2 linked regions of the Oryctolagus cuniculus genome follow. The protein of the gene in region 2 purifies or fractionates together with the protein of the main gene of each other region. This does not show direct contact. Links are inferred from orthologs where the notes say so. Each region holds a gene or a part of one and is shown on either strand. Other genes may lie near its edges.

Evidence for each region.
Region 1: the proteins of POLR2D (region 2) and POLR2M purify together in Homo sapiens (affinity purification with mass spectrometry; 3 studies listed by BioGRID and IntAct, counting the BioPlex papers as one, with this or other methods). This does not show direct contact. The link is inferred for Oryctolagus cuniculus from reciprocal best matches to the Homo sapiens genes POLR2D and POLR2M.

What each region holds. Positions count from the first base shown.
Region 1 is NC_091443.1:80,571,611-80,575,970, reverse strand, and holds the start of POLR2M (protein GRINL1A), read right to left. Parts: upstream 2,859-4,360; 5' UTR 2,653-2,858; coding exon 2,540-2,652; intron 611-2,539; coding exon 1-610.
Region 2 is NC_091434.1:121,258,893-121,262,701, reverse strand, and holds part of POLR2D (DNA-directed RNA polymerase II subunit RPB4), read right to left. Parts: intron 3,625-3,809; coding exon 3,444-3,624; intron 57-3,443; coding exon 1-56. UniProt on the Homo sapiens protein: Core component of RNA polymerase II (Pol II), a DNA-dependent RNA polymerase which synthesizes mRNA precursors and many functional non-coding RNAs using the four ribonucleoside triphosphates as substrates.

The sequences.
Region 1 (4,360 bases), on a different chromosome or scaffold from region 2:
TTCTAGCACTTCCATGTAATGAGGCTTCTTCTGAGTCCCGCTCCCAAAGCCCGTCACGTTCTCAGTCAAGTTCTCAGTCCTCGTGTATCCTTCTGAGGGATGTTCACTCTGGTCTGCAATTGTGATCCTTTGCAACTTATCAATAAACAGGTTGTCAAGGCTGCTGGAAACGTCCTCCACTTGACTTGAAACACTATGCTGAGGGAGATGCTCTCTGGCTTCAGCCGAGGAAAGCACGCTGGCACTGCTGTTGCTGGAAGCTGGGCACTTGTTCGCTGGGTCCTCAGCCTCTGGAGTCTCTTCCTCACCTTTGTGAGGAGGATGTACAAGTCCCTGTTTATGTGAGGTTGTCTGAGATGACTTGACGTTATCTACAGAGGAACAGCCAGGAACTAGTGATGACGTAGCAAGTATCTGGTCAGAATTCTGGGCCTTATGTATGTCCACATCAACTGCATCTGCTTTTTGCCTTAGCGTACAGTCTAAACTAACAGGATGAAAGAGTTCACTTTTCCCTCTAACCTCTTCACGTCCTGCAATGGCAGCTTTCAGTTTGGCAACGGTGTCTATGACCTTTTTACCTTTGTCGGGCAATTTGCAAATGAATTTTCTGTCAAATGGAAAAGAACAGGTATACATTAGGGCCATGGCTTTAAACTTGAGGCGTAACACTTAACAGACAAAGCACCATCCTCCAAGGGAGCAAACTGATTTTTAAGTTAATGTCTGATTTTTACCAGCTCCCAAACAGGAATGAAACAATACAACAATTTTCCAAATACATTTAGAAAACAAGTGGATAGAAGAACAGAGAATATAGGCCTCATCTGTCTCTTCTATTTAGAATCTTGGCAAAAGGACTTGAAGAATACAGGCTGAACACTTCTAATCTGAAAATTTTTTTAGCACTAACATGATGTTCTAAGTGGAAAATCCATGCCTGACCTTATGTGACAATTGTAGTCAAAATGCAGGTACAATAAAAACCTGTCTAAAAGTCAAGCTATGAGCATATGCAACATAAATGAACTGTGTTTAGACTTGGGTCTCATCCCTAAATATCCCATTATGAATATACAAATATTAAAGACAATTTAAAAAAAAAAAAAAAACAAAATCTGAGACATTTCTGGTCTTAAGCATTTCAGATAGGGGAGACTTAACCTGTGTGATTATCATACAAGATATCCCCCAAATTCATAGTTTTTAAAATGTAATCTCCAAAACCTGCTGGGGGAATGGGCCTGCAGAGTCAGAATTATTCCAACAACACTACTAAAGCGTTATTTACCACCTCCCTCTCAAGTTCTCACAGGGGTAGGGTGAACTTTTCCAGAAGCCACATGATGTGTGACACCATCCTGGCTCTGAAGTGGAATGTGTGCTCATGTGTTCACGAAAAACAAGAGCTCTTTGGCATGCCCAGCTCTTAAATAAGAGTATAAGGAGATCTTCACACCCAAATGTTAATTCACTGCCATTCTCACAATGTCACAGCAACACCTGTCTACTACAAAGACCCTCAAGTGACTGCTTTTTTGGAAGTGACATAAGTTTCTTTTCTAATTTCCTTTTCTTCGGCCATACAATACATAAGGGGCGAGGTTACATCTGAGACCCTCTAGTAGTTTTTTTTCCTCTGACATTACATTCATGCTTTCAGTTTCAACTACCTATGAACAACTCAGTGCATTCAAGATTCCCCAATTTCCCCAACCCCCTCCACCTCCCCTTCCCTCTCTCCTGCTCTCCTCTCAACTCCATGCACTCGAAGTACAAATCAACCTTGCCTCTACTCCCTCCCCTCACTTTTTCTATTTCTCTTGGTGGCTCTCCTCACACATGGGAAACTTCAGCCATCTTAATCCCTGCCTGACAAAGTTTTGCCAATCCCACGGCCGGCCGCCGTCCCAGTTCACTTTCCTGCGACCTCCTTGCAGGAAACCTCTCTAAAAGTATCCTCCTGGGGTCTTCCGCCTCTTAGTCCGTCAAGCCATCCTGCTCCGAGCTGCTGAACACGAAACTGCCCTTCAAACACCCCTTTTGTCATTTCGCGCCCCTGCTAACCATCCGGGTCGTCTGCCAGCTGAATGGGAGTCAAGTTCTCGGCCTGAGAAACCGTTCTTTACATCTCACTCTTCTCATTCCTCACCGGTTCCCGTAAGGAAAGGATCGAGAGAGAAAACTGGCAACAGATTTTCGGCGCCAGGCCCGGGGCGGGAGAACAGGGTTATCTGGGACACAAGCTTTCCCTTCAAAGCCGACATGGGAACTGAGTAAACAAAACCAACGAGGGGCTGGCGGACCAGCTTAGCTCCACGCTAAGCAGCCGCTGGGGACACGAGCCACCCCCACGAGCTGCAGCAGCAGCGGCCGGAACGTGGCGTGGCTTTGCGGCTGCAGGCCGCGGGACCGAAACGAATCGCACTGAGGCAAGGTCACCTTCCAGTGGAGGGAGCGGGGCGGTGGAAGGCAGGGGGCGTCCCCGGGAGCCCCAACCCTAGGAGTCGGGCTGTGCCTCGGAGGGACCCCAGCTTACTCGTTGCGCAAAAGTCTCTCCTGGCGCTTCAACATCTCCCGCAGCTCCACCAAACTCCGCTGCCCCAAGTCCTCGGGAACTTGGGGCTCGAAGCCGCGGGGCAGCAAGGACATTCTGCGGGGGCTGAGGCTGGCGAGGCGGCGGGCACTCGGCGTCCTCAGCAGGCCCCGCCGCTGGCGCAGGATCCGCGGCTGGCGGCGACTCCGGGGCACGAGCGGGAGTCGCCATTTTCCCGGAAGAACAAGTCTTCTTCGAGGCGAATCGAGCTTTATTGAAACGCCGGAAACGAACACGGACCAGGAGAAGGGGGCGCCCGGGGGAGCGCGAAGGGGCGGAAGTTCTGGGGGATGACGTCAGCGCCTGGGTTTGGCGGGATTTCGCTGTGTGTGCAGGTTGGGACGTTCCGCAGCCATTCACCTGTGTATTCAGAAGCGGTAGGAGTTAGGATAAGGCACATTCATGTACACACACACTCACTCTCTCTCTCTTTCTCTCCCAAAGATCCACAACAGAGGTGATGAGGATGCTATCTATACAAATTTTGAAAACCTTTCATAATTCCCAGTTTTGCCTATAGGAAAACAGAGGCACAAAAATGGGAGCAAATATTCCCAGGGCACAAATTAAGTGACAGCTCTAAGTTCGAAACTCAATTCCCTTTTCCAGCACCCCAATTTGAAGACACCTCTCTTCCCTTTAGACTTATTTACGAACATATAAAATGGTTGCAAAGTTTTGTTTCTGGCTGTTGAGGAGGCAGTGTGGTAGGCATCAGAGTCAGCTTCTACCCGCTCTATAGCTGAGCTACCAGAGCTACATCCCGAAGGAAAGAATGGGGAGCTTGTAGACTCGCAGCAGACACCCGGACCTGACGGGTTTGGATTACCCCACACTTTCCAAACACCCTCCCCTCACTCTTTGATACAGGCAGTTGATGTTTTCTCAGTCCAATATAAGATACTATAGAAACGCAAGCAACTTGCAGCCAGTCAGAAGCTCCAGATAAAATCCAGAGCTATTTCAAGGAGTTCAAATGTAGCTAGCTATTTCTGTCCTCCACCCCATCCCCATCTAGTCCATTGTGATCAGAGTAACTAACATAAACACACATTCTCAATATAAACCTTGCTTTCGGGGCTTCAATAACTTACTCAAGTCCTAGCTGAGTAAGAAATACTTATGTAAAGACCTAGAGTCAGGGGGCCAGCGCTGTGGCATAGCGGGTTAAGCCGCCACCTACGGTGCCGGCATCCCATATGGGCACTGGTTCAAGTCCCGGCTTCTCCACTTCCAACCCAGCTCTCTGCTATGGCCTGGGAAAGCAGTGGAAGATGGCCCAAGTCCTTGTGCCCTTGCACCCACGTGGGAGACCTGGAAGAAGCTCCTGCTCCCCCTGGGCCTCAGTGGGAGAACTCCCCCCCCCCCCCAGTAGTGAAATGGCTGTCTCTTGTTCCTGAGCCACAAATGTCCTCAAGGCAAAGATGCCTTTCTTTTAAGTCTCAGAATTGTGTCCCCTTCTGTTTTCCTCTTGTGGAAAGTCATCCCTTCTTCCCAAAATGAATTACAATTTTTTTGGTTCAAGTCACCTCATCTCAAAGCCTTCCCAGATTATTCCGTTTTGAACACAACTGTAGTGATTATTTAGAGTTAGAACCCCACTACATGCAATGTATTTTGCTAATTATGCATGGTGATTTCTTTCTCCTTTATAATAAAATCATAACATTCTTTGTCAGGGAGCTATGTTTATACTTTCCTGTCTCCCTTAAGTCACCTAGCAGGTACTAGTTGACAAAAAGTTTTCTCATAATTTTTCTCTCC
Region 2 (3,809 bases):
AAAGGTTGGCTAAACAGGCCAACTCAAACTTATGAAGCTTCTTCTGGAGCAGCAAGCTGGTCATAGAGAGGAAAATCCAAACAAAACAACCCAATCAAAGAATGATCAACAAGAAAAACTGTGGGGAGCAAAGAGAAAACGTGAAGCATCTGCAACCTTCTCTTTACGGTTATGTGGGCTGCAGAATTCTACTTTCAAATTACTTCCTGTTTCTGCCTCTAAAGAACAGGAAGCTGCAGTGAACTTAGGCAGAGATGAAAGAGAGGAGACACACCAGGTAGAGGAGCACCTGCCACAACCTGTGAAAAACTACTTCATACCTCAGACGATACCACTTTTTGCCCAGAAATTTATTTTCTTGTTACTATTCTTTCTACTATACCTCTTTGACTCTTATATTACTAATTTTTAAAAAATTATTTATCGGGAGGGGCCAGCGTTGTGACACGGTGGGTTAAGCCACCACTTGTGACACAGGCATCTCATAAGGAGTACTGGGTTAAGTCCTAGGTGCTCTGTTTCTGATCTAGCTTCCTGCTAACATGCCTGGGAAGGCAGTGGAAGATGGTACAAATACTCAGGTCCCTGTAACTCAGGTAGGAGACCAGGGTTCCTGGCTCCTGGCGTTAAGCTTGGCCCAGACTTGTCTATTGTTGGCATTTGAGAGGTGAACCAGTGAATGGAAAATTTCTGTCTCTTCCTCTCTGCCCTTTTAATAAATCAATCTCAAAAAAATTTTTTTGAAGAAATTAACTTATTTGAGAGCCAGACAAAGAGAGGCATTGAACTCCTGTCCAGTGGTACACTCCTCACATGCAACAGCCAGAAGGAAGGTGGGAGCTGGGAACTCAGTGGTGACATGGTAACAGAAATCAACTACTAGGGCCATGACCTGCTGCTCTGCAGAGGGCACACTAGCAGGAAGCTGGAATTAAAAGTGGGACTGGGGGCTGGTGCTGTGGCACAGAGTGCGAGGTTGCTGCCTACAGTGCCAGTATCCTATATGGATGCCAGTTGGGAGTCCTGGCTGCTCCACTTTGGATCTAGCTTAGCTCACTGCTATGGCCTGGGAATGTGGTGGAAGATGGCCCGGTCCTTGGGTTTCTGCACCTGCATGGGAGACCTGGAGGAGGCTCCTGGCTCCTGATCAACCCAGCTCTGGCCATTGCGACCATTTGAAGAGTGAACCAGCAGATGGAAGACCTCTCTCTCTGCCTCTATGTAACTCTGCCTTTCAAATAAATGAATAAATCTTAAAAAAAAAAAAAAAAAAAAAGTGGGACTGAACTCCAATATGGAAGGCAAGTATCCCAACTAACGTCTTAACTGATAGGTCAAACGCCCACCCCTCTTAATTTTACATTAAGCACATAATGTTAGCTGTTCCCGATTTAATAGGTATTTTGACAGGGAGGAAATTCTCTTTAAAATTTATCTAAATAGGAATACAGACTACCCTATTTTGTGCATACTGGTGTATGAAACATATCTTAATTAAACATACAGAGGCCGGTGCTGTGGTATAGCAGGAAAAGCCACCACCTGCAGTGCCAGCATCCCATATAGGCACTGATTCTAGTTCCAGCTGCTCCACTTCTGATTCAGCTCTCTGCTATGGCCTGGGAGAGTAGTGGAAGATGGCCCAAGTCCCTGGGCCCCTGCACCCCCATGGGAGACCCAGGAAGAGACTCCTGGCTCCTGGCTTCAGATTGGACCAGCTCTGGCCATTGCAGCCATCTGGGGAGTGAACCAGTGGATGGAAGACCTCTCTCTCTCTCTCTCTCTCTCTCTGCCTCTGTCTCTCTGTAACTCTGCCTTTCAAATAAGTAAATAAATAAATCAGTAAACATACAAGTCCTGTTTGGAACACTGTCAGCACAAATACTGTCTTGAATGTTCATCACTCTACCTCTTTTCTCTTTTTTTTTTCTTTTAAAAACTTATTTATTTGAAAGGCAGAGTTACTGAGAGACAGATCTTCCATCTGCTGGTTCACTCCCCAAATGGTCATAACACTGGAGCTGGGCAGATCCAAACCCAGGAGCCAGGAACTTCTTCCAGGAACTTCCCACGTGGGTGCAAGGACCCAAGAAATAAGGCCATCCTCCACTGCTTTCTCAAGAGCATTAGCAGAGAGCAGGACCGAAGTGGAGCACCTGGGACTCCAACTGGTGCCCATATGGGATGCAGGTGTCCCAAGCGGCAGCTTTACCCGCTGTGCCACAGCAGTTGCCCCACCTCTGCCTCTTAAAATAGAGCTCATCTGTGGTAAATTTAGTTTCAGAAATGATCTTCAGCTTTCTGATAAGAAAAAAACCAGGGTGGAGGAGGCATTTGGCCTAGCTGTTTTTCCTATAGCCTCCTTTAAGCCCAAGCACCTCACTGTGTCTCCCAGAAAGAATGTTCTGGATCTACATTTATTACCATGCAAAGATCTCTATGATGTTTTAGGCACAAAATAAGTAAATCTGCTTAATTAAAAATCTTTAAATTCTATCAAACTGTGATTTAGGTATAAAAGATGGTGGCTCAAGATAATTTTGGCCTTATAAACAATTAAAATTTTTTGACAATGATGTTACTTTACTTATATTAAATTCACACGGGGGTTGGAGTCATGGCATAGCAGCACAAGCCACCACGTGCAATGCCCAGCATCCCATACAGATGCTGCTCTGAGTCCTGGCTGCTCCATTTCTCACTCAGCTCTCTGCTTATGTGCCTGGGAAGGCAGCGGAAGAAGGCCCAAGTGTTTGGGCGCCAGTACCCATATGGGAGACCCAGATAAAGTTCCTAGCTCCTGGCTTCAATCTTGCCCATTCCTGGCCGTTGCAGCCATTTGGGGAGTAAACCAGCAGATGGAAGACCTCTCTCTCTCTCTCTCTCTCAACCAGCAGATGGAAGACCTCTCTCTCTCTCTCTCCCTCCCTCCCTCCCTCCCTCCCTCTCTGTAACTCCACCTTTCTAGTTACAAAATAAATCTTATTTGAAAGGTGGAGTTACAGAGAGGGAGAGGCAAAGGCAGAGAGAAAGAGAGAGAATCTTCCATCCTCTGGTCCACTCCCCAAATGGCTACAACATCCTGAACTGGGCCAATTGGAAGCCAGGAGCCAGCAGCTTCTTCTGGGTCTCCCACATGGGTGCAGGAGCCCAAGCATTTGGGCCATCTTCCACTGCCTTCCCAGGCACATTAGCAGAGAGCTGGATGGGAAGTGAAGCAGCTGGAACTGAAACCGGCACCAGTATTGATGTTAGCACTGCAGGTGGAGGCTTTACCTGCTACAGCACAGCACCGGCCCCTAAATAAATCAATCTTAAAAAAAAAAAAAAAAAAAAAAAAAACAAAAACCTTCACAGATGATGTTGGGAAAAGCAAGAGTGAACAATGTTACACATGTAGATGTCCAACAAGTTGGACTAACAGACTTTCTTTTAGCACTCACCTGCGGACACTGGCAATGGTCTCTCTGTTTTTGAAACGACTGAAACGGGCTGTGTAGGTCAAAGTCTTCATGAAGACCTCCGAGAGTTCCTGTTCATCCTCTGCACTCTCGTTCTGCTGCTTGCGATGCTCCAGAAGCATATGCACCTCGGAATTTAGAAGTGTCTCAGCTGTTTCAAACTCTGTCAGAGGCACAAATGTAAGCTGAGAAGAATCCTTCAGGGGCAAGCGTTTGGCACAGCACTTAAGAAGCCACTTGGGACACCCACATCCCTTATCTGAGTGCCTATGTTCAAACCCAGGCTCCGCTCCTAATTCCAGCTTCCTACTAATGCACACCCTGGGAGGTAGTAGATGATGGATCAAG